5 linked regions of the Sus scrofa genome follow. The protein of the gene in region 5 binds, or shares a complex with, the protein of the main gene of each other region. Links are inferred from orthologs where the notes say so. Each region holds a gene or a part of one and is shown on either strand. Other genes may lie near its edges.

Region 1 (5,013 bases), on a different chromosome or scaffold from region 5:
TGGGGATCGGGTTTCCTCCATGGGGGCTCCTCTTAAGATGCTGCAGGCTCCAGGGGGCGGAAGCAGACAGGCATCAGGCCTCCCAGGTACTGCTGGTGCACAGGGGACGGGGGTCAGCTTGTCAGCAGGAAAGGGGCTGAGCGGAATCCAAGATGGAGGAAGAGAAGACAAAAGAAAAGGACTGGAGAGGGAGAGGAAGGAAATAAGGGGAAAGAATGACAGGAAAGAAAAGGAGAGAGGGAGAGAAGGAGGAAGGAAAAGGGAGGAGAGAGGAAGGGAACGAGGGAGGAACTCGAACAAAGGATGGAAGGGAGGGAGGGAGAAAGAGAGAGATAAAGAAAGAAAGACACAAAGAAAGAAAGAAAAGACAGAAGAAAGGAAGGAAAGAAGGAAGAAAGAAGAAAGGAAGAAAGACACAAAGAAATAAAGAAAGAAGAAAGGAAGAAAGAAAGAAATGGAAGAGAGAAAAATGGAAGAGAGAAAGAAAGAAAAAAAGAAAGAAAGGAAGGAAGGAAGGGATGGCAGAAAGAGATGGCAGGAGGGAAGAAGGAAGTAGGGAGGGATGAAAAGGAGAGGAGGCAGGAGGGTTTCAGCCACAGGGAGTTAAAAAACCCAACTAGGTGTTGAATAAATGTTAGGCTTCATCTTTATTCTAAAAAGGAAGGAGAGAGGGAGAAAGAGAAGAAAGTAGCGGTTTAAAAAGTGGGAGTGAGGGAGGACAAGAACAAGAGCGAGGGGGCTGGAGACAGAATTCAAGGAGAAAGAAACTGATGAGGCAGCGCAGAGTTTTAGAACCCCAAACCCCAGAGCTCCCGGTTTCCATGCCAGCTTTGTGGTGTGTACGGCTTCTTTTTAGTAGTATTTCTATGATTGTCAGTATTATTATTATTTCTCTAAGGTAGCTAGCTGACTGAGGAATCAGGTTTTGCAACCCTGCATTAGGATGTGAGAGAAGAAGTTTCTCTGTGGAACTAAGACTGAGTTTGAAAGCTGAGGGTGAAGGATGCGAGTGGACGTGGCTGGCATGGCCAAGGCACAACTTCCTTTCCACCCATGTGCCAGGGGTCTTATGGCTGCCTTGTCACTCTGCCTGATGTTGCTGGCCAGGATTTCTCCCTCATCTCTCCCGGGAAACCAGTGTGAACTACGAGGCGTGGATCGGAGGGGCACACACTGCCTCTCTTTAATGCGATGCTGGATGATTTATTTATCCCCAGACCTTTCTTTCAGTACTTTGGCTGAGGAAAGGGGAGCCCTCAGCCTGGAAATTCACTGCCTTGGCATCCTTTTCAACAGAAGGTTTCACTTGAACGTGAGGAAGAAAGAGAGACAGCAACATCTGTACCACTGAGATGGGCAGGTGAAGGCAGTGATGAGGACTTGATGTGTCAGCACCCACCATGAGTGCCAGGTCACTCCAAAGGGGACAGAGCTCCATCCCATGTCTACCGGCACCCAGCACAGTGCTGGTTCTTCCACCAGACCCCACCTGTCTCTTGGTCCTGGCTTCACACCTGGATGGGACCAGGGATGCTGTGCCCACAAGCTCTGGTGGGACATGAAGACAGACAGGGCTGTTTGTGGTAATAATCAGGGCCCAAGACATACCCCCCCCCACCCACCTTGAGGCTGAGCAAGGAATTGGGGACATTAGCATGGGGTCTCCTCCGCACCACGCACATGCCAGCCAAGTAGCAAATGGGGAAAAGTGACAGCAAAGAGAGTTCCCACCACCATCACACACACACACACCCACACCCCACCCAGTTGCAAAGGGGCAAGAAAGGTTTCACACCTCTTCCATCCTCCCCAAAGAAAGCCTCATGGTGATGCTTCCAGACTCAAGACTCAAGCTGGCAAAGGGAAAGCAGACCCAGGGAGTGGGCGAGGGGTTTCCTCGGAGGGGCTGGAGGAGTTAAGCTCCCACAGGAGGGACAGGGACAGAACGAGGCAGGGAGCACTCGGTCAGTTCACATGAATCCCCGCTGGACACCCATGATGTGAATCAAAGACAGAAGATGCCCACCTGAGAACACCCCATTTCCTGAATCACAGGGTTCCAGATGCCCCAGATCCAGGGGCTTCCAGGCGCTGAGCGTCCTCCACCAAGTCGGAGGTGGAAGATGATGAGTGACCCAGAGGGCAAGGTGTCAGGGCAGCTGGCAGGGGTCAGGGGAACCCCCACCCAAGAAGGCCCCACAGTCTTACAGACAATAAACAAACTAATTCCAGACCCCCAGCTCACAAGATGAGAGGGAAGCCGCCTTACCTGGATGGGCTTGTGACCTGGCATCGGCTCCATGCACCTGCACACAAAACACCACATTGTAAGACGCAAGGGGAACCTCCCAGTGGAGATCCAGTCCCATCTCAGCAATTATTACCTGGGGACATTACCTGAAAATCGCAATAAAATAACAGCAGCCAGGAGTGCCAGCAGCAAAGAGGCAGCAGCTTCCTCATTTTTTTTTTTTTTTTCCAGAGGTGAAAATGTGATCCCAGGGGGATTCCTGAGGGTCCGTGACAAAATGTCCCCCTTAACTTTCACTTCCTTGGGAAAGGGACATTTTCACAGGTTCCGGAAAGAAAACAAAACAACAACAGAAAAAACATGTATTTCACTAGAGTCTGTGAGATTCAGGGAGTGAACGCAGGCAGTAGTGGGGAGTTAATGGGTGTTTCTTCTTCGTCTCCAAACGTGAAAGTCCTCAGTGATCCACAGACACATTGGAAGGACCAGACCAGCCTTGGGATGCGGGGAGAAGAAACACAGCCCCCGTCACAGTCCCGAGAAGCAATCCCGGGCCACAGATGCAGCACAGAGGTTCCAAGAGCAATCGTGATTCCCTCAAGGTTTTCTTTTTATGTCAAGACAATTCATCTGTCTCCATCCAGGTTCAGAGTCGGATGTTTCTCCTTTTTCCTTGAAGCGCAAGGAATTCTGTCTGGAGCTCCCGTGGGCTCCTGGGCTGGGGCGTCGCTGCTCAACTCCTTCTGGTGTGACTCAGGCTGACACCTCGTCCGTCTGTCTGCTTGGGGTGGGGAGAGTGAGTGGTGAAAGAGCTCTCCTCAAACTTTGTTCTGTTCTGCTTCTCTATTTATAGCCCGGCCAGCGCTGCTGGTCCTTCCTGGGTCCTAACTCCGGTCTGTTAAGAACCACTGGGAAGGTTTTCTGGATCTGAGGTTTGGAGGCAGACCAGACAGACATGGGGTGTGTGTGTGTGTGTGTGTGTGTGTTAGATGCCTTCCATCATGGAGTTCCCTTCGTGGCTCAGTGGTAAAGAACCCAACTAGTATCCATGAGGACACGGGTTCAACCCCTGGCCTCACTCTGGGGGGTTAAGGATCTGGCATTGCTGTGACTGTGGTGTAGGCCAGCAGCTGCAGCTCTGATTAGATCACTAATCTGGGAACATCCATGTCCTGCAGGTGCAGCCCTTAAAAAGATTAAAAAGAAATAGAAATTTAAAAAATAAGATGCCTTCCATCCATACCCTCAAAGTCAGCATAAATATGAATACATAGAAAACATACAGCAAACCATAAACTCAGCTTAGAGCAGAATCTTGTTTGCCCAAAGAAAAGAAATAAAGCGACCTAGGGATGGAAAAAGAAAATAAACCGCACCCCTGTGCCCTCCACATAATACTAACCACATTTTCTATTTAACCCTTTCAGAGGTGAATGGAACTATTTACAAATTACACTGTGGGTTTACACCCCCTCCACATCCAGGATAGTGTTCTCAAGGTAATAATAGCAGGGCATCAGATCCTTTGCCAGCCTAAACCCACTTTATTAGAGACCAAAACTTTGCACAATCTACAATGCTTCCATGTCCACACACACACACACAATTTTATTCACAGCTATAATGTGCCATGTGATTAAACTAACACTTACCTCCCCGTACTGTCTCCGACACTTGCTAGCTGTGTGTTCTCAGGCAAGTTACTGAACCTCTCTGTTTCAAACTTCTCATCTGTAAAATGGAGGTACTAGTTCCTGTTCCCCGGGGTTGTAACAAGAAATGAGATGATACATATAAGTCTCTCAACGCAGTGCTTAGAAAATATGCAGCACTCCATAAATGCTAGCTATTTTTTGCAAAGAAAAAGATCACTCAATAAATGTTAGCTGTGATTATTATTATTACAAAGTAGAAAATAACACCATTAAATGCTAGCTAATATTATTATCTTTTAGTCCTGACTTTAAATGGGAACAGAGTCCAAGTATTTCCTAAAGAGGATATGAAAATGACCTCCCATCTCCACCGGGGAGAAAAAAAAATGTAATGTCAAGCCCATGAGGTGATTATTTTTAACTTGTGCCCTGCAGCGTACTACCTTCGGAAAATTAGATTGCCTGACCGTCCCTGCACAGGCGCAGCAGGTTTGCAGAAATTTTCTGCACATGTTTCTCTATCTCTTCACACTTGAAAAAAAAAAAAATGATGAATTACACCGTTGTCATTACAACCTTTATCCTGTCACCTAGGCTGATCGCCTCGGGGAAAACTAATTTACAACCCTTATCTCTGCATTTTATCAGTTTTCATTCCATCCAGCCTCCCTCTGCAAGTAAAGGAAAGATGCCTGAGGAGTGGCAGCAGATGCAGATTTTTCTCTGACCAGGTCTTAATTTACAAAGAATTAGACAGATTGCTATTTAAATGGACCTCTCCCATTTCCTAGACTGACCTCCTTTAACCAGAAAAATCATCATCAAAGGCATCCCAATACAATAACGGTAATACCATAACAGTAATAAAAACTGGATACACTGCAGCAACATGGTTGCAACTAGAGATTCTCATACGAAGTGAGGTAAGTCAGGCAGAGAAAGACAAATACCATATGATATCACTTATACGTGGAATCTAAACTATCACACACATGAACCTATTTACAGAACAGAAACAAATTCACAGACACAGAGAACAAACTTGTGGTTGCCAAGGTGGAGGGAGTGGGATGGACTGGGAATTTGGCGTTAGTGGATGCAAACTAT
Region 2 (2,916 bases), on a different chromosome or scaffold from region 5:
CTTCAACACAGACATGAGGAGACAAAACAGCATCCATTCTGGGAAACATGACAAGGAGACGGGATCACAGCCTTCACACACACACACACACACACACACACACACACAAAGCCACACACAGATACTGACCGACACACATAAATATACATTTGTACCGCAATGTCCCTTCCATCTAGCCACAGATTTTAGCAAAGTCCTTCTGGAGCAGAGTTAAAGGAGAGCATCCTAAATTGTCCTTGGCACCCTCACCCCCATGCTCTGTTCAGTACAACCTCAAAGGAGGCACAGCGGGCTCAAGGCTGCCCTGCCTTGAGAGATCTGGTACCTTGGCTGGGGCTGGAGGTGGGAGTAACTTAGGGGTTGGCTGTTTAGGGGGGTTTAGGGGGCCCTGTGCCATTAGCTCCCCTAGAACTTTCTCAAATTCCACCCTGCCCCCCTTGGGAGGCCCTGAGCTCTCCTCAGTCCTCCAGACCGGTTTTTCCAGACCTCAGTGATTCCCCCGTGCCCCAAATAGTGCAAATGGCCAATGAGGTCTGAGAATGGGGTTTAGTCCCCCATCCCCACGTGGTTTCCTGGCAGAAAGAAAGGGAAGAAGTCAACAAAGTGGCAGCTGGTGAGATTTAGGGAAGCTGTGGATTGGAACCCGGGGAACTGTCATCCGGGACTGCCCAGAATGGTCAGGGAGGAGGTCTCCAGCCCCTCAGGACAGTGGTTCCAGGGAAGTGGCCTCTGAGATCGCAAGGAGAAGGTGGCAAAGGGGGTAAATTCAGAGAGGGAAGTCCGGGCACAGGGCGGAGGGGAAGGCAGACGGTTGTGAAATGTTGAAATCCTCTGTACTGGGTGGGAAATCGCTCCTGTGCTGTGCTTTTTTTTTTTTTTTTTTTTTTTTTTGGTCTTTTTAGGGCCGTACCTGCAGCATATGGAAGTTCCCAGGCTAGGGGTTAAATCAGAGCTGCAGCTGCCAGCCTATGACACAGCCACAGCAATGCCAGATCCAAGCAGTGTCTGCGACCTACACTGCAGCTCATGGCAGCACCAGATCCTTAACCCACTGAGCAAGGCTAGGGATTGAACCCACATCCTCATTGATACCAGTCAGGTTCTTAAGCTGCTGAGCCACAACGGGAACTCCCTCTGTGCTCTTCTTGAGCACCCACCTGCTGTCCCCTGGGCCCTTTCCGGGTCCCCCCTCCCCCATTCTCCCCAAGATCCAGTTCCGAAGAGGTCACATGGGCCACCGCACTGGCCTCTGGGACCCTGCTGCAGCTCTGCCATCCGACTGGCTGGTGTCTCAGTTGGCCATACCAGGTGTGAAATATCTTCAACATCACCCCAGGCTGTGGAGTGGGGGCCCCTTGACTGGTAGCCCCACGTCACCCAGTGACTCTCCATGTAGCCTAACTGTCAGCCCACTTGGCCCTCAGACCATTGTGTTGCCCTCCAGAAATGTGGGTGATGTGGGCATGTGCGTGCCCCTCTCCAGGGAGCTGGAGCTGCGGAGGGGCAAGAGGCGGTGGCCCGGGGTCCCGTCCCTCCGTCCTTGCCCCCCAGCTGCCCGCCGCCAGCACTGCAGCGGCCGTAACACCTCCCGCCGCAGGTCCCGACTGCGCCACGTGTAGATGACAGGGTTAAGCAGAGAGTTGAGGGTGGCAAAGGCAAAGAAGTAGTGGGCCTTGTAGAGGATGGGGCAGGCCCGGACGGGACAGGCGTAGTCCAGGAGGAGGATGCTAAAGGCGGGCAGCCAGCAGACGATGAAGACGCCCAGCACAATGGTGACGGTCTTGAGCAGGGCCAGCGTTTGCTGGCCGGCCACATCAGCCTGGCTGGAGCGGACCACGCAGTAGATGCGGATGTACAGAGCTACGATGGCTGATAAGATGACAGAGAAGATGGTTACCACACAGAGCACGTAGGGCTTGGCGTAGAGCGGCAGGACAGTGGAGCAGGCCTCTAGGTGGCCCAGGCAGTTCCAGCCAAGGATGGGCAGGCCGCCGAGAACCATTGAGATGAGCCACGAGGCGGCGATGAGCAGCAGCATGCGACAGCTCTTGTCGCTGCCATAGAGCTTGACCTTGGCAATGGCCACTTGCCGCTCGATAGCAATGGCCAGGAGACTGAAGACGGAGGCGGAGAGCGTGATGAAGGCAGAGCCCTCTCGAGCAAACCACTGCACAGGGGTCAGCCTCAGCGTGAACGGGCCCGAGAGCAAGGTATTGGCTATGAAGGCCACGCCTGCCAGCAGGTCTGAGGCAGCCAGGTTGCCCAGGAACAGGTACATGGCCGAGTGGAACTTGCTGTTGCGGGCAACCGCGATGAGCACCAGCAGGTTCTCCAGCACAATGGCGCAGCAGAGGATGATGATGAGGACTGAGGCCACCTGGCGGGAGGGCGTCTCTGTGACTGGCGTCTCCTTGGTATAATTATAGTGTTCTGGGACCTTGCTGGGGCTTAGGTATTCTGAGTATAGGTTGCCCATGGTGGGGCTCAGTGGCCGACCGGGGCCATGGGGCTGTCACAGCTGTAAAGAGAAAAAACAGAGAGACAGCTAGGTTAGTACTGTGGCTGCTGCCTGGACTGAGTCTGGACAGCCTTAGTTCAAGTCCTAGCCCCGTCACTCCCCCACTGTATGGATCACATGAAGTCAGAATTATCATCATCCCTGCATTACAGACAGGAAAATATCAGGAAAACTGATATTTCACACCTGGGACGGCCGACTGAGGCGCCAACCAGTTGGATGGCAGAGCTGCAGCAGGGTCCCAGAGGCCAGTGCGGTGGCCCATGTGACCTCTTCGGAACTGGATCTTGGGGAGGACGGGGGAGGGGGGACCCGGAAAGGGCCCAGGGGACAGCAGGTGGGTGCTCAAGAAGAGCACAGAGGGAGTTCCTGTTGTGGCTCAGCAGCTTAAGAACCCG
Region 3 (3,985 bases), on a different chromosome or scaffold from region 5:
TCCCTTAGTAAATTAACTAAAACCTTCAATCCCAGCTGGTCGCAGCTGTGCAAGGAGAGGCAGGTGTGCGGGCAGTGGCGTCCCCGCTGGGGGCGAAGGCGAAGCCCCAGCCTTCCGCCTCCTCCCCGCCGGCCCCTCGCTCTTCTGGGGCCTGAATCGCGTTTGGGAAGCGAGAGGGGTGGACCAGCGGACCCCAGCCCCAAAGAAGAGAAGCTTCGAGGAGGCGGCATCTGGGGACCCTCCCCGCCCCTCCCCTCTCCCAGGAAAGGAGGAGCCAGCAGCGAGAAGGGGTGGGGCCTTGGTTGTGGGCGGGGCCTGGGGCAGAGGGGCGGGGCCTGGAGCCTAGGGGACGGGGCTGCTGTCTGGCCCCGCCCCTGAATACCGATGCTCCGCCCCTGCTGGCCAGGGCTGCCCTATCCCGCCCTTCCGTTCCCTTGGGGCGCTCACACACCCGAACCAGGCCACCCTAACTCCCGGAGGCCCCCTTTCTTACCCCTTGAACAGCGCCCTTAGAGCGTCCCACTGAATCCCTTGGCTGCCCCGCATCGAGGTGGGAGCCCTCATCCTGGTCACCGCCCGCCGTTGCGACTCAGGACTCCCCCCCTCGCCATCCTGGCCCTGGACGCTTCTCCCTTGGACCCCCCAGAGCATCCTTGCGTCCTGGCCCCGCCATCCAGCGTCCAGCCGCAGCACAAGGAGGTGCCACCTTGCCGGAACCGCCTGACTCCTCTGACGCACACCCTCCCCCCCACCTTCCGGACACCCAAGCCCTGCGTCCCCCTGTCACGGCCTGGCCCACTTCCCAGCCTCTCCTCTCCCCACCCTCCCCATGAGAGACCCTAGGAGCACCCCCAGTCCTGGAAAGTGGCAGGTCTAAAGGCTCTAGCAAGTTCTCTGCCATGGGTCAGCAGGGGGGCCAAGGCCTCACCTCCTCCTGCCGCCCAGCTTCCACTCTGGCCAGCGGCAGCCTCAGGAGGCGGGGGCAGGGGCTGTGGGCACTGCGGCTGCTCCTGAAGGTTGGGTTCTTGTCTCGTCGAAGAAAGAATTCAGACATGAGACGGAGATTTTGAGAAAGGAAACGGAGGATTTATTTTAAGTGAGAAATACACCTTTTAAGGAGAGGCGGCCAGAGAGGCGAGCAGCTGTCCTGCGTGTGTTGGGCGCACCCGTTACATGGGGCATCTGATTTTACGGGCGGGATGGTCACTGGGAAGTGGGGCTTGGGTGTCATATTCCTTATTGTCATCCCAGCTTCACCTTCCCGAAGGGAGGAGAGATTTTTGTCCATATTTAGTATATCGGGAGTGTCATGGCATCAGCGTAGGATGGCTGCTTCTTATCTGCGTAGCTAATTTTATGACCATTTTATTGTAATGAGGGCATGATGAGCAACAGGTGATATCTGGACCCTGGAGATTCACACCCTGTTCCACCTCTTCTTGTCTGCCCCCAGGGCACCTGTCCCCAGAAGCTCTGGTTTCCTCTCAGCCTGGAGGTTCCAGCTTCTCTTTGTCCCCCAGGACACTGCTGTTTGCATGATGTGTGGTTTCCTGCCCTCTGGCCCCAGGCCCCCTTCTCCTGCTCTTACAGTGCCATGTAAAAGGCCCACCAGTGGCCATCAGAAGTGCCCTGGGCACCTACCACCATCTCACTGAACCAGGGTGGTGGGGGCAGGTGAGCACGGCCAGAGCCGACAGGTGAACCTGCGCCTCCTGGGAGCAGAAGACCCCAGTGCCAGGCTGCAGGTGGGGCCCCTGCTCCTATAGGTGTTGCCCCAGTGGACGCTCTGCAGGACCCGTGTGGGGTGCCCTCCCGGCCTGGACACTTGGCCCCGGACTGCAGGATCCCGTCAGGCTCGGCGGCAGCAGACAGTTGCCACCTGGTTGACTTCGCAACGTGAGTGTCTGTCCACCTGGGCAGGTGGCAGCCGAACACCCAGAGTGCCAGGCCCTTGAGTGGCAGGCCCAGCACCAGGAGGAGGCAGATGGAGACGCTCGTTGCCCTGGGACACTCTGGTCCATGCTGCAGCCACTAGAGTCCTTCCTGGGGCAGCGGCCACAGAGTGGCTGCTGATAGTCTGCCAGGGGCGGGAAGTTGGTGGGAGCTTCAGCGGGTTCTGGGGTGAGGAGGGCCCGGCCAGGTGGAGCTTCACTGGGCCCGGGAGAGGGTGCTGCAGCCTTTCTCTCCCCCCCTCCCCCCCTCCCTCTCCCACTTCCGGTGCCAGCCCCGGGACTCACCTGATCGGGGCGAGCCCTCACCTAGCCTCAGGGCTTTCCACCAAGGCCCCCTCCAGGCTGCGGGCCCACCACCTCCCCACCCACCCCAGACAGACAGGGGCTCTGTGGTGGGGGTCCTTCCTGGGTCTCTCCATCCAAGGCTTCCGGCCAGCCCAGGACCTCTGTGGGTCTGCCCCAGGCCATGTGGCCCTGGGTAAGGTCCATCGTCCAGTGGCCCTGGGAGCGGGGGTGCCCAGCTGGTCTGGCAGGCAGAGCTGGCCCCTGGTCCTTCCTCAGGCACCCAGGGCACCCAGTAGCTCTTTGGGACCCTCTGACCCTTGCGGCTCCCAGTCTGCAGGACAGCAGGAGGGGTGGCACGCGGCGGTGGGGGGGTGGCACCGGGGCCGGGGGCCGGCCTGGAACAGCTCTCTCCGTCTCTCTCCCCTCCCCTGACCGCCTCCCAGGGTCCTCTCTCCTTGTCCTTCTCATGACCTCCCCTCTCTGGCCCGTCCTCTCCTGTGGTCCCTGTCCCCCCCTCCCGGTTCCCTCCACACCCCCCCTTCCATCCTGCTTTCTCCCCATCCGTCTCTCCTTCTCTCCCTCTCTCCGTCGTTCTCTAGTCCAGAGACCGTCTCTGTCCGTAGCGGCTCCTCCCCTCCCCAGGCTGAAGCGTAAGATGGGGCTCCTTCCAGCTCTGGCCCTGGCAGAGGCCGTGTCCCCTGCCGGACACAGAGCTAACTGTCCCCTCCGCCCTCCCTACGCGTGGTCTCTGAGTTCAGGACCAGCTGCCCACACTCAGGCCTGGCCCAGCGGCAGATAGAACTCCAGATGGGTGGGGGCGGAAGGCCTGTGACGTAGGTGGGGGCCCCTAGGGGAGCCCTGGGCAGTCACCGGGGAAGATGCCCCTGGTGCGGGTGTGGGTGGCACACACAGTCTTCTGGGGGGCTTTATTCCGGCCCCTGTGGGTGGCGGCGGCAAGCTGGCCATCAGAGCCTCCTGGTGCCCAACAGCCACCCCCGCCCCGCCCAGGTGTCCTGGGCTCTGGGCCCAGCACGGGTGCCCAGGGCCCCTGCGGTGGCCTTGCTCAGGCCTCAGCCCTGCCATCCTCCCTGTTCCTTTTCCACTGGGCGGGGGCGGGGGGCTGTCACCTCCCCAGGCTCCATGCCTGGTTGTCCTGCCCACCTGGGCCTCCTGACAGCACCCCCCGCCCATGGCGAGCTCAGGGCTGGTCACCGGTCCCCAGCAGGCAGCACCTCGCGGAGAGCACCGCCTTGCCTCCTAGGCCAGGGTCACGCACAGAGAGTCCTGGCTCTTGTGGGCCTTGGCCCTGGAGGCCGCGGGCAGCACGGACGCCTCCCGGAACTCCTTGGCCATGTAGTAGTAGCAGACGGCGTCCAGGCAGCAGTTGGCGTCCGAGAGTCTGCCAGTGATTTCCATGGCGAGTTGGCCGACACAGGGGGGCAGGCCCACGGCCACGCGCAGCGTCAGCACCACGTGAAGAGGCAGGAAGCAGACCACGAACACCACCAGGTTTGCCAGGACCATGCGGGCGGCCTTCCGGCTGGTCGCCGCCTGGCCCGCGTCCGCGGCTGGCCTCCGGGCCAAGGTGGCCACCACCTGCAGGGAACAGAAGCCCAGCACGGCCAGAGGCAGGTAGAAGCCCACCAGCGAGAAGGCCGGGGTGTGCGAGTTCTTCCGGGAGGGGCTGGTGAAGCAGAAGCCGCCCTCCTGCCTCTCCAGGAACCAGCGCAGCGTCAGGGAGCCGAGCA
Region 4 (4,902 bases), on a different chromosome or scaffold from region 5:
AGTGGGTTAAGGATCCGGTGTTACCGTGAGCTGTGGTGTAGGTCGCAGATGGGGCTCAGATCCTGAGTTGCTGTGGCTGTGGCTGTGGCTGGCAGCTGCAGCTCTGATTTAACTCCTAGCCTGGGAACCTCCATATGCCTCAGGAGTGGCCCTAAAAAAGCAAAGAAAAAAAACCCAAACAAACCAACCAAAAAAAACCCCAAAAAAACCCAGGGAGTTGTTGCCTCTGGGAGCGAAGTAGGAGTGTGAGGGTGGCCTTGAAATGGGCAAACCCCCCACTGTTGTCTGAATGTTTATGTCTTGATTTGGGTGCTTAGTCACATGGGCGTATCTGTGTGCCACAACTCGATGTACTGCTCCCTTAAGATCCAGGCATTTTTCATTTTTATTTTTAAAATAAATAAACAATAAATAAATAAATAAATAAATCAAATAAACAAAAAGAAGAATTTGCAAGACTAATTGCTGTCATGTTGGAGCGCTTCATCCCAGGTCTGTGCAAAGTGCTTTGCCCCAGCATGAATTCTCACGACCAGTGTATGAAGGAAATGATAAGAAACATCAGGAAATATTTTCGGAGCACTCACCATGCCTGCACTCCCTCCTGGACAACAACAGGTACTGTACACCTATCATGCGTCTGGCACTTTTCTAGACAACAGACACACAATGGTATGCTAACGACACACAAAAATGACACTCCTCCTTGTGGGGAGGCAGATCATTAGGAAAAAAAAAAAAAGTGAAATACATCTAGTCCCCACCCTGCACAGTGGGTTAGGAATGTTACTGCAGGAGTTCCCGTCGTGGCTCAGCGGTTAGCAAATCCAACTAATATCCATGAGGACATGGGTTCGATCCCTGGCCTTGCTCAGTGGGTTCAGGATCCGGCATTGCCATGAGCTGTGGTGTAGGTTGCAGAGGCGGCTTGAATCTCTCATTGCTATGGCTCTGGCATAGGCCAGAAGCAGCTACAGTTCAGATTGGCCCCCTATGCCATATGCCACAGGTGCAGCCCTAAAAGACAAAAAGACAACAAGACAAAAAAGGGGAGTTCCCGCCCTGGCTCAGTGGTTAATGAATCCAACTAGGAACCATGAGGTTGCAGGTTTGATCCCTGGCCTCGCTCAGTCGGTTAAGGATCTGGCACTGCCGTGAGCTGTGATGTAGATCGAAGATGCAGCTCGGATCCCCAGTTGCTGTGGCTCTGGTGGCTACAGCTCTAATTAGACCCCTAGCTTGGGAACCTCCATATCCCATGGGTGTGGCCCTAGAAAAGACAGAAAGACCAAAAAAAGAAAAAGAAAAAGAAAGAAAAAAAGAAAAGAATGTGACTGCAGCGGCTCTGGTGCCTGTGGAGGTGTGGGTTGAAACCCCTCGGGTGTAGTGGGTTAAAAGGATCCCAAGTTGCCACAGCTGCGGCTCACGTCACAGCTGCAGCTAGGACTCAATCCCTGGCCCAGGAATTTCCATGTATCACAGGCTGGCTTATGGAAGGAAGGAAAAGAGAGAAAGAAAAGGAGAAAGAGAGGAAGAAGGGAGGAAGAAAGACAGACAGACATAGAATGTTAGGTGCTGACAAGCCAACAAAGCAGGGAGGAAGGGAAGCCTGGGGCCATCATGTTTTGCAGACTTGATTGTCTGACATCCTCCCGACAAAGGGACTCAGAGGGACCCCATTGTCCGAAGAGGAAACTGAAGCACGGAGAGGTCACCAGCCTAAGTCTGGCCACCAGGCAGGGCTGGAGCTGCCCGCCCCAGGATTCCTTCCGTGGGCTCCGGGAACTAACAGACCCCTTCCGACTCCCCTTCATGGAGGAGGCGGGGATGCAAGGACCGGAAGGTGAATGACCTGGGCCTGGGGTCTCTGTAGGGAGGAACACGTTCAGCTCCAGGAGACTCCATGCGGGAGGCGCCTTCCTCCCGCGGCTGCGGGCTTGATCAGGCTGGGGTGTCAGGTTGGAGGGAGAGTAAGCAAAGCGGCTAAGGAGGCGGGGCCTCCAGCGTGGGGACCTTGAAGGAGTGGGATGGGGGTGCCCCACGGCAGGTGAAGTTTCCCCAGGGCTGGAAGCCTTTAGCGGGGCGAAGGGGCGCGACGAAGGAGGGGTTAATGGGGGCGGGCCCGGCCGGGGGGCGGGGCCTCGGCCGGCCGCTCGGGCCCGGGGGCCGGGAGGAGTCGCTGCCAGGTCCCGGCGCCGCCGTGGAGCCCAGATGCCCGAGCCGCCGAGAGAGGCGCCACCCGCCCCGTCCAGCCGCCACGCGCAGGTAGGCGCCGGTCCTGCGGCCGCCGCGGGGCCGCTCCGGCAGCGCCGCTCGGGGGCTTTGCGCTGCCGCGTGCGCTGCCTCGGTCTCCCGCGCCGTCGCGGTCCCCGCCCCTCTCTGGGGCCGGCTCTCCCCGCGTCTCCGCCGCCGACTCCGGCTCTGGGTCTGTCTCCAGGTCTCCGTCTGGCTCTGAGGTCTCTCGGCATCGGAGGTCCTTCACCCTCTTGGGCGTGTCTCTCCTTCTCCATCTCTGGACGTCTCTGTGTGGATTTCTCGATCTCTGCCTCGCCATCCCTCTCTCTCTCTGGCTCTCTCTGTGTGTCTCTTTGCCTCTACCGCTGCCTCTTGATGAATTCTCAGTCTCTACGGAACTCTCAGCTTCCATCTCCACGTCTCCCCGTCTCTGGGCATCTCTGCCCTCTCCCTTCCTGTCTCTCTGTCTCTCTCCGTATATCTCTGTCTCTGTCTTTCTGCATCTTAGACCCGGTTCTGGCAATTTCACCCCGTCGTGGTCTCCTTCTAGATCCTGGCGAATCCCAGCGCTTTCCCCTGGGCTGAGGAGCTGCTCGGGAGTGGGGTAGGGGGCAGTAGGGTTGTCACCTGAGGCGGGTGGACCCTGTGACCCCGACTCCCCTCAACAGGGTCATCCCACTGCTCTTGAGATCACACCCACCCCACCCTCCAGTTTCAGGAATTCTTGGCTGGGGGGTGAACTTCCTCCCCCACTTCCTCCCTTCCAGGATTTGGCTGGGTCACCCGTTGTTAACTCCTTCCTGCCTCAGCTTCACCCCCCTCCCCGTTTTGAACTGGACACCCCCTACACCAACCAAGCTGAAGGGCAGCTCTGGAATTTCTGTGAGGCATGTGTTGTGGGATGTGTGCTGTGTTCAGGCTGGATGTGCGGGGATTTTCCTAAGGGCACTGATGGTGGTGATGGGGCCACCAACACCCCCATCACCCCCTGCAGGGTCCACCACCAGCTCCACTCCTGAGGTCACCAAGGGCCCCCTCCAACTCTGTCTCTGTAGATGAGCTTGACCTCAGGTTTGGGGTTAGGATGGGAAGCTTTTCCTTTCTAGGGGCGGTACCAGTAGGAGCAAATGAGAGAGATTGATGGGGGAGGTGGCTCCCAAACTCTGGGAATCATAGATCCAAGAAGTTTTGAATGTGAAGTCTTTGCAGGACCCACGTATGTGAGAATGGTCAGAGGGGTGAGCTGGAGGCGCTCAGACCTTCAAATTAAAGGACCTTAGGGTATTTGAATCCTTCATTCCGAAAAGATTAGCGCTGGAATTTTTGACAGTTTTCTGCGTTCACAGCCAAGAGCTCGAACGTGCTTTCAGAATCAGTGAGACCAAGCCGCCCATTTTACAGAGGGGGAAACTGAGGCCCAAGGGCAGAAGTCCCCACAATGGGTCAATTTCAGGCTGGGGTTGGGACTCCAGTTCCACTGATGCCCAAATCCAGAAATCTGGCTTCATTTGCCTCCACTGGGTCAGATCAGTCAGATCCTTGTGGGGAAGGAAGCAGGTCTTCACAGGGAGAAAGGAAGCAGCCAGGGTGAGTGTGGATGGCTGGAACCCTGGAGGGAGCATTTTTTAAGAAGCAGAGAAGAGAAAATATTTCTAAAACCATGGCGGGAGAGGAGACAGGAGTTGGTTTGGGTGGAAGGGGTGGAGTTTTCAGAGAAGGAGGGAAGAAGGGAGGGGACGTAGGGGGATTAACTCCCGCCTGGCTCTGTCTCCTGACCCTCCGCATGAAGCCCACTGCTCCCGCGGGACAGGGCCTATAATTTGGTTTGTGTCTAGACAAATAATAACTCAGCTGGTGAGCGAGTGAATGGGGAGGGATGAGGCGAGTCCTGCTGGACAGGGCTAAGGAGGCAGCCTGGGCTCCCAGTGTCCCCTCCAGGAGGGCAGAATTTAGGGCCCAGATGAATGTGGTGACTAAGCCCATCCCCCATGGAATCCTAGCATCCTAGAATTCTGCATAATCTTGGAACTTCAGGCTTCGGGAATGTTAAAATACAGATTAGGTAAGGGAGGGGAAAAGGAAGTGGGTTTGCTGTCTATCAAGTATGCTCCCATTTCTGTAAAAAAAAGAGAAGAGAGGCGTTCCCCTTGTGGCGCAGCGGAAAAGGAATCTGACTAGGAACCATGAGGTTGTGGGTTCTTTCCTGGGCCTCGCTCAGTGGGTTAAAGATCCGGCATTGCCATGAGCTGTGGTGTAGGTCGCAGATGCGGCTCGGATCCTGCGTTGCTGTGGCTCTGGTGTAGGCTGGCGGTTACAGCTCCAATTAGATCCCTAGCCTGGGAACCTCCATGTGCCGAGGGTGCAACCCTAAAAAACAAAAACAGAGAGAGAGAGAAGGGAAAGATGTATTTGTGTTTGCTGGGCAAAGGTAATAACCACTGAGAGTTTATTAATAGATTACAAAAGTCATAGAATGTTAAAAAAAAAATCCTAGAGCATTCTAACAATAGAACTTGAGAATCTTGGAATGTGAGCCTCCTGGAATATTGGAAACTTAGAAGGGTAAAGGCATGGAAAGCCACCATGGTAATAATAATAATAGAATGGGAGAAAGGTAAAGCTCTAGAATGTTATAATAATAGAACAGTAGCCCATGAGCAGGGCTAA
Region 5 (4,701 bases):
GAAAAGCACATGCAATTACCACAAGTACTTCCTGAAGGATTTTAACATGTTCTCATTTATAAAGTAAGTTCTGCGTAGAATGTTGTCACCAGAGAACCAAAACTAGTGAAGGAAAAAGAAACGATAAAGTTGTACGTACAGCCTGCACGTCCAGGCTCTGAAGAAGGATCTGCAAGGTTTTCTGAGTCCCTCAAAGAGATATTTATTTATGAAATGTCAACAACAAACAATGTCGCCCTGTGGCCTATTTGGTCCCCGAGCACCGGCTGAGCCCAACGCTGAGTCTTCCAGGAAACATTCAAAACTCAAAAACTCCCAATACCAAGCTTTAAATCAGTGTGAGGCACACGATGGCCTTAGTTAGACTTCCCTAAAAGGAGGAAGACCAATTGCAAAAACAGTATAAAAACAGAGATTTCAAACTCATGGTGATTAATTCAAACCCATTATTTCTATCATTAAGCTGTTACTTTTAGTCCCTCTCAATAATCACATGGCTCTTAGGTCACTTGTTTGGATAACTGAAAAACTGTTTGGCTGTCAATTTTCTGATCATGCCAACTCAAAAAAGTAGATGGCTAGTGACTTCATCTCATAATCAAGGCTCAAAGTAGGTCACACTTAGAAGTCAGAGCACATTGAGAACCAGGTGTTAAAAGAGGGCCAGGTACAGTTCCTGTCGTGGCTCATCAGAAACGAACCCGACTAGTATCCATGAGGACGCAGGTTGGATCCCTGGCCCTGCTCAGTGGGTTAAGGATCCAGTGTTACCGTGAGCTGTGGTGTAGGTCGCAGATGTGGCTCAGATCTGGCATAGCTGTAGCTGTGGCTGGGGCAGAGGCCAACTGCTATAGCTCAGATTGGACCCCTGGCCTGGGAACTTCCATATGCCATGGGTGCAGCCCTAAAATGACAAAACAAACAAACAAAAAAACCAAAACATGAAAAACAAAACAGGGCCAGATGTTTATTTAGCTGGCTTATAATCAGTTAACATGTTAACTATTCACTGACAGAACTCCTTAAGTTTGGGCATCGGTATACAAAGGTACCTTCAATTAGAGCCTGGTTAGGCAGAGTCTTCGGCTTTGAAAGACACCTCAATTAATGTTGCACTACTAAACGTTAAGAAGGGATAAATACAACCGGTTTTTTTTAATAACTTAACTGCAGAGGTACTAGGGCTGGCTGTGGTCTATGAGTTCCTGGCGCAGTGCTCTCCCCCGTTATTAGCTTCACAAAGCTTCCCCTTCCCCCCCCCCCAAGCAGTTTTCCTCTACTCAATCCTGGGAGAAAAAAAAGTGACACCAGAGAGTAACTTAAGCACTTCCTGAACAACAAAAAAATCCCACTCAAAAAAATGCTGCTTGGAAAAGCTTGAAATCTATAGCGAACTCCTAGATAATTGCTACCCAGATGCAACAGAGAGAATCCTGACACACCTGAAGTACCAGACTCCGTACCGCAACTTTGGCAAATGCCTTTTATAAAGTAGAAAATATGATACAAAGAAAATGAAGTGCTAATTAACACTCAAACGACAAAAATAAAATCCCTCTTCTCTTAGCTCTTTGAAAGACCAGAAATAAAGTTCTTGTGCGTTTTTCACTTATTAACAAGGCTTAATCTAACTTAAAAAATACTGACAAACAGAAGCAGAGCCGACACTGATTCACTGACTCAACTTGTACAGGCTCTGCATCACTTCTAGGCCAAAGATTCTTTATTATCAACACACAGTTTAATTTAAGTAGTAGAAGCAAGTGGTGGTACCCCTTCCCTCCGGCCCCCAGTTACTAAGCAAAAGGAGAGTGGAACGTGTTGCATAGTGATTACAGGCAAACATCCTGCCCCACCGTGACACCCGGGCGAAAAACCACCGCTGCGAACTTTTTTAGACTAACTAAATGGGGCTACTCTTTCCTGACGCCAGTACAATAAACAGGACACCCTCAAGTTTCATATCCTTGCCCCAAAGGGTCCAAGAGCAGTCACCGTTCGCCCTTGACCAGAGTCTCGGGCAAAAGTTTCCTCATTGCGATGGTTCCAGAACACTGGAAGGGCCAAGGAAGCAGGGAAGTGGGAGCAGCCCCGATCCCATGTGACTCGGGCACCCACCCACCCGGGAAGGCGAGGCTGGGCAGGCAGCGCTGGGGCGTGGGGTCAGGGTGTAGGGTCTGGGGCTGGCTCTCGGGTCTGCTGCCTCGTCCGGAGGAGGGAAGACAGGAGGGGGCACCCCGCACTCCCGGCACCCGGCTCCCTTCACTTCCCTTCTCGCAGGGGGCGAGGCCAGCGACGGAGTGGGGGGTGGGGGGCCAGCCGGGATCCCTGCCCCGCAGCAAGAGGGAAAAGGGGCACCCCCAGGCATCCCCTCCGCTGGGGGCAAGGGCACCCCGGGCAGGCAGGGTCGGTGCCCGGGGCGCGCCCCCTTCCCGCGCGCCCGCCCGCCGGGCCCGTTTCTACTCCGGGGACTGAGCGAACGAGGGCGGTGCCCGGTCCCGCGCCGGCCCGCGGCCGCCCCCGGCCCCCGGCCCCCCGGCTCCGACCCCGGCCCGGCACCTTTGATCACGTTGCTGTAGATGGTGGGACGGAACTCCTCGCGCGCGCGCTGGTCGAAGTCCTGTCCGTGGATGATCCGCATCTGCTTCAGGAAGGTGGACTTGCCGCTCTCGCCCGCACCCAGCAGCAGGATCTTCACGAGCCGCTTCACGTAGGTCTTCTCCCGCGACAGGCATTTGTCGATCTCTTTGGACTTGCGCTGCTGCTCGGCCTCGCCGCTCGTCAGCACGCAGCCGGGGAAGCACACGGACAGCACGGACCGCGACGGCAGGAAGTCCGCCATCTTGCCGCCGCCGCCGCCGCCGCCGCCTCGGCGGGCCCCTCCGGCTCCCTCCACCTCCTCCTCGGGCGGCGGGCGGCTCCGGCACCGCGGCTCGAGGGCGGGGAGCGCAGTGGCGACCCGAGCGCGCCGGGGGAGGGAGGGAACCAGCGAACTGACTCGCAGGGCGGGCCAGGCGAGCCGGGGAGGGAGGGAGGGAGGGAAGGAGGGCGGGCCTGGGAGGGGCGGTGGCCCGGGGGACGTGCGCGTGCCCGCTGCCTCCGGGGGCGCGCGCGCACGCCGCGGCGGCTCCTCCGACCCGTGCGCTGGGCCGGAGAATCACGTTCTACTGTGAATTCGCGGCCGCCGTCAGGCGCGCGCGGGGAGGGGTTGAAGGGGTGGGGCCTTGTGTTCATGTGATCTCGGGCTGGGCGCCTTGCAGAGCCAGCCTTTCTGTTTCCCTTTAATTAGCTGCACCCACTTACGCGCCCAAGGGCTGCTTCCGGGAGCCCTGGAGGCTGGGGCCCGGAGAGAAGAACTCAGATGCAGCACTTTGGGTTCCCCAACCGCTCCCGCCGCGGTTACGTGCGGGTCGCCGGCTGTCATCGTTCGCTCTCCTAGTTTCGAGGCCATTGGCTTGAATGTTATTCAAAGAGCGAGCGCGAGTTGGGCAAGTTTTTGGTGCGTTTTCCTAGAGTATCTTCCTTGACATCCTGCTCTCACAAACTCAAAACGTTAACCAAACATCTTCACATCCTCCCCAACACCGGCCCGCAGCTCTCTTCGGTATTCTCTGAGCCCTACAAAGATCATCTCTTGGAGGAGAAAGACTTCGTGTTGATGTTAATCTGAGATGGGCGAGGAGGGGTTGTTGATGTCTCATTGATGCGGATTCCAACCCAAGCTGCTGAAATCAAGATGTAGCTGCAGTAGGGTGAGGTCATGGTGAAAATCCCCCTTAACCGGACACTGTGATGCAGACTCTTCCCTAACAAGGAAGCAGATAAGCAAACAGACCGAGGAGAAGAGCCGGCAAATTTTAGGTTTCCTGCCAGATTACAGAGGATATGACCAGCCAAGGGACTTTTTTCCTATCCTAATAGCAGATTCAGGCCAGGACACCTGAAGGGCTGCCAGGAGACAAGCGACCAGTGACAGCTGGGTTGGCCCCCAAAAGCCAACTTCTTCATTCTTGGTATTCTAGTTTTAAGTGCAAAAAGGCTTTTGGGGTGGTCTCCGTTTATGGCAGTACAACCCTAATGTTCCTTGATGAGAACTTCTGTGGCTCAGAAACGTCTATGCGTCAGAAACTGAAGAAAGAGGTCAGCACTCCCAAGAGGCTCAGGAACAGGTTTAAATTTTAAAAATCAGTGCTAATCAGTTCACTGTCTGGGTTGGGTTAATGTCCGAGGAGCCTCATGACTCAGTAAACTGGCTGCAGTAAACAGTGCCTGTAGTGGGATTATCTCCTCTTGTCCTGGCCAAGCCCACAGGGTGGACAAGCTACAATATACAAAGTAGTGTAGGTTCAACTCTTAATATCTAAGGATTGTTAGGGCCAGAATCACTAGGTGGTGCCTTCAGGTAAAATATAGGGTAAACGTCTCTCCTGGTTGCAAGATCTCTCTGTGGCCTCAGCTAGTGTTTGGGAGGCTCTGTTCTCCACCCATGAAAGGATGAACCAGGGCAGGGGTCTAGCACCGGCCTCCAAGCACCCTTTCTATATGGACTCCAGATGCTAATCTGAATTCTACGAAAACAGGAAGAGGGAAGCCTATCAGTTAAGTAGTTAACATATTTTTTTTTCTTTTTCCAAAAGTGTGTGCAACGTAATGGAGAACCAAGGATGCCTAGGAGGCAGGAAGGTATTCCTGCCCAGCCAG

What was found.
Region 1: the proteins of GNA13 (region 5) and ADGRD1 are in contact, whole or in part, in a cryo-EM structure (PDB 9V0U), measured with the Homo sapiens proteins. The link is inferred for Sus scrofa from reciprocal best matches to the Homo sapiens genes GNA13 and ADGRD1. Residues at the interface, in NP_006563.2 of Homo sapiens: Val49, Val216, Phe218, Phe359, Val362, Lys363, Asp364, Ile366, Leu367, His368, Asn370, Leu371, Gln373, Leu374, Met375; in NP_942122.2 of Homo sapiens: Asn599, Arg601, Leu657, Met660, Val661, Ile662, Val664, Phe665, Ser667, Val737, Ile738, Ile741, Ala761, Val764, Asn810.
Region 2: the proteins of GNA13 (region 5) and S1PR2 are in contact, whole or in part, in a cryo-EM structure (PDB 7T6B), measured with the Homo sapiens proteins. The link is inferred for Sus scrofa from reciprocal best matches to the Homo sapiens genes GNA13 and S1PR2. Residues at the interface, in NP_006563.2 of Homo sapiens: Arg47, Val216, Phe359, Lys363, Asp364, Ile366, Leu367, His368, Asp369, Asn370, Leu371, Gln373, Leu374, Met375, Leu376, Gln377; in NP_004221.3 of Homo sapiens: Ser66, Met68, Tyr69, Leu72, Arg130, Ala133, Ile134, Lys136, Val137, Lys138, Leu139, Tyr140, Tyr209, Ile212, Val216, Ser219, Gln227, Thr228, Leu231, Leu232, Val235, Tyr288.
Region 3: the proteins of GNA13 (region 5) and GPR35 are in contact, whole or in part, in a cryo-EM structure (PDB 8H8J), measured with the Homo sapiens proteins. The link is inferred for Sus scrofa from reciprocal best matches to the Homo sapiens genes GNA13 and GPR35. Residues at the interface, in NP_006563.2 of Homo sapiens: Lys46, Arg47, Leu48, Val49, Lys214, Asn215, Val216, Phe218, Arg331, Gln337, Gln338, Lys340, Pro341, Leu342, Tyr343, Phe359, Arg360, Asp361, Lys363, Asp364, Ile366, Leu367, His368, Asn370, Leu371, Lys372, Gln373, Leu374, Met375, Leu376; in NP_005292.2 of Homo sapiens: Phe45, Gln51, Thr53, Thr55, Met59, Asp113, Arg114, Ala117, Val118, Pro121, Leu122, Arg123, Arg125, Arg128, Ala197, Leu198, Arg201, Pro202, Thr204, Asp205, Gly207, Gln208, Ala211, Ala215, Met218, Val219, Ala280, Lys281, Glu282.
Region 4: the proteins of GNA13 (region 5) and GPR4 are in contact, whole or in part, in a cryo-EM structure (PDB 9JHP), measured with the Homo sapiens proteins. The link is inferred for Sus scrofa from reciprocal best matches to the Homo sapiens genes GNA13 and GPR4. Residues at the interface, in NP_006563.2 of Homo sapiens: Arg47, Pro341, Tyr343, Phe359, Lys363, Asp364, Ile366, Leu367, His368, Asn370, Leu371, Lys372, Gln373, Leu374, Met375, Leu376, Gln377; in NP_005273.1 of Homo sapiens: Gln45, Asn50, Arg115, Ala118, Val119, Ala120, Pro122, Leu123, Ala126, Ile204, Val208, Ser211, Val212, Ser213, Thr214, Glu218, Lys221, Ile222, Leu225, Asn290, Glu291, Gly292, Ala293.

What each region holds. Positions count from the first base shown.
Region 1 is NC_010456.5:24,238,180-24,243,192, forward strand, and holds the start of ADGRD1 (adhesion G-protein coupled receptor D1), read right to left. Parts: upstream 3,092-5,013; 5' UTR 2,464-3,091; coding exon 2,398-2,463; intron 2,307-2,397; coding exon 2,270-2,306; intron 1-2,269. UniProt on the Homo sapiens protein: Adhesion G-protein coupled receptor (aGPCR) for androgen hormone 5alpha-dihydrotestosterone (5alpha-DHT), also named 17beta-hydroxy-5alpha-androstan-3-one, the most potent hormone among androgens. Also activated by methenolone drug.
Region 2 is NC_010444.4:69,049,530-69,052,445, forward strand, and holds the end of S1PR2 (sphingosine 1-phosphate receptor 2), read right to left. Parts: intron 2,519-2,916; 5' UTR 2,477-2,518; coding exon 1,421-2,476; 3' UTR 867-1,420; downstream 1-866. UniProt on the Homo sapiens protein: Receptor for the lysosphingolipid sphingosine 1-phosphate (S1P). S1P is a bioactive lysophospholipid that elicits diverse physiological effects on most types of cells and tissues.
Region 3 is NC_010457.5:139,588,718-139,592,702, reverse strand, and holds the end of GPR35 (G-protein coupled receptor 35), read right to left. Parts: coding exon 3,495-3,985; 3' UTR 1,065-3,494; downstream 1-1,064. UniProt on the Homo sapiens protein: G-protein coupled receptor that binds to several ligands including the tryptophan metabolite kynurenic acid (KYNA), lysophosphatidic acid (LPA) or 5-hydroxyindoleacetic acid (5-HIAA) with high affinity, leading to rapid and transient activation of numerous intracellular signaling pathways.
Region 4 is NC_010448.4:51,976,738-51,981,639, reverse strand, and holds the start of GPR4 (G-protein coupled receptor 4), read left to right. Parts: upstream 1-1,708; 5' UTR 1,709-1,843; intron 1,844-2,131; exon of another isoform or gene 2,132-2,265; intron 2,266-4,902. UniProt on the Homo sapiens protein: Proton-sensing G-protein coupled receptor activated by extracellular pH, which is required to monitor pH changes and generate adaptive reactions. Activated by an optimal pH of 6.8-7.2.
Region 5 is NC_010454.4:11,963,748-11,968,448, forward strand, and holds the start of GNA13 (guanine nucleotide-binding protein subunit alpha-13), read right to left. Parts: upstream 3,167-4,701; 5' UTR 2,843-3,166; coding exon 2,560-2,842; intron 1-2,559. UniProt on the Homo sapiens protein: Guanine nucleotide-binding proteins (G proteins) are involved as modulators or transducers in various transmembrane signaling systems.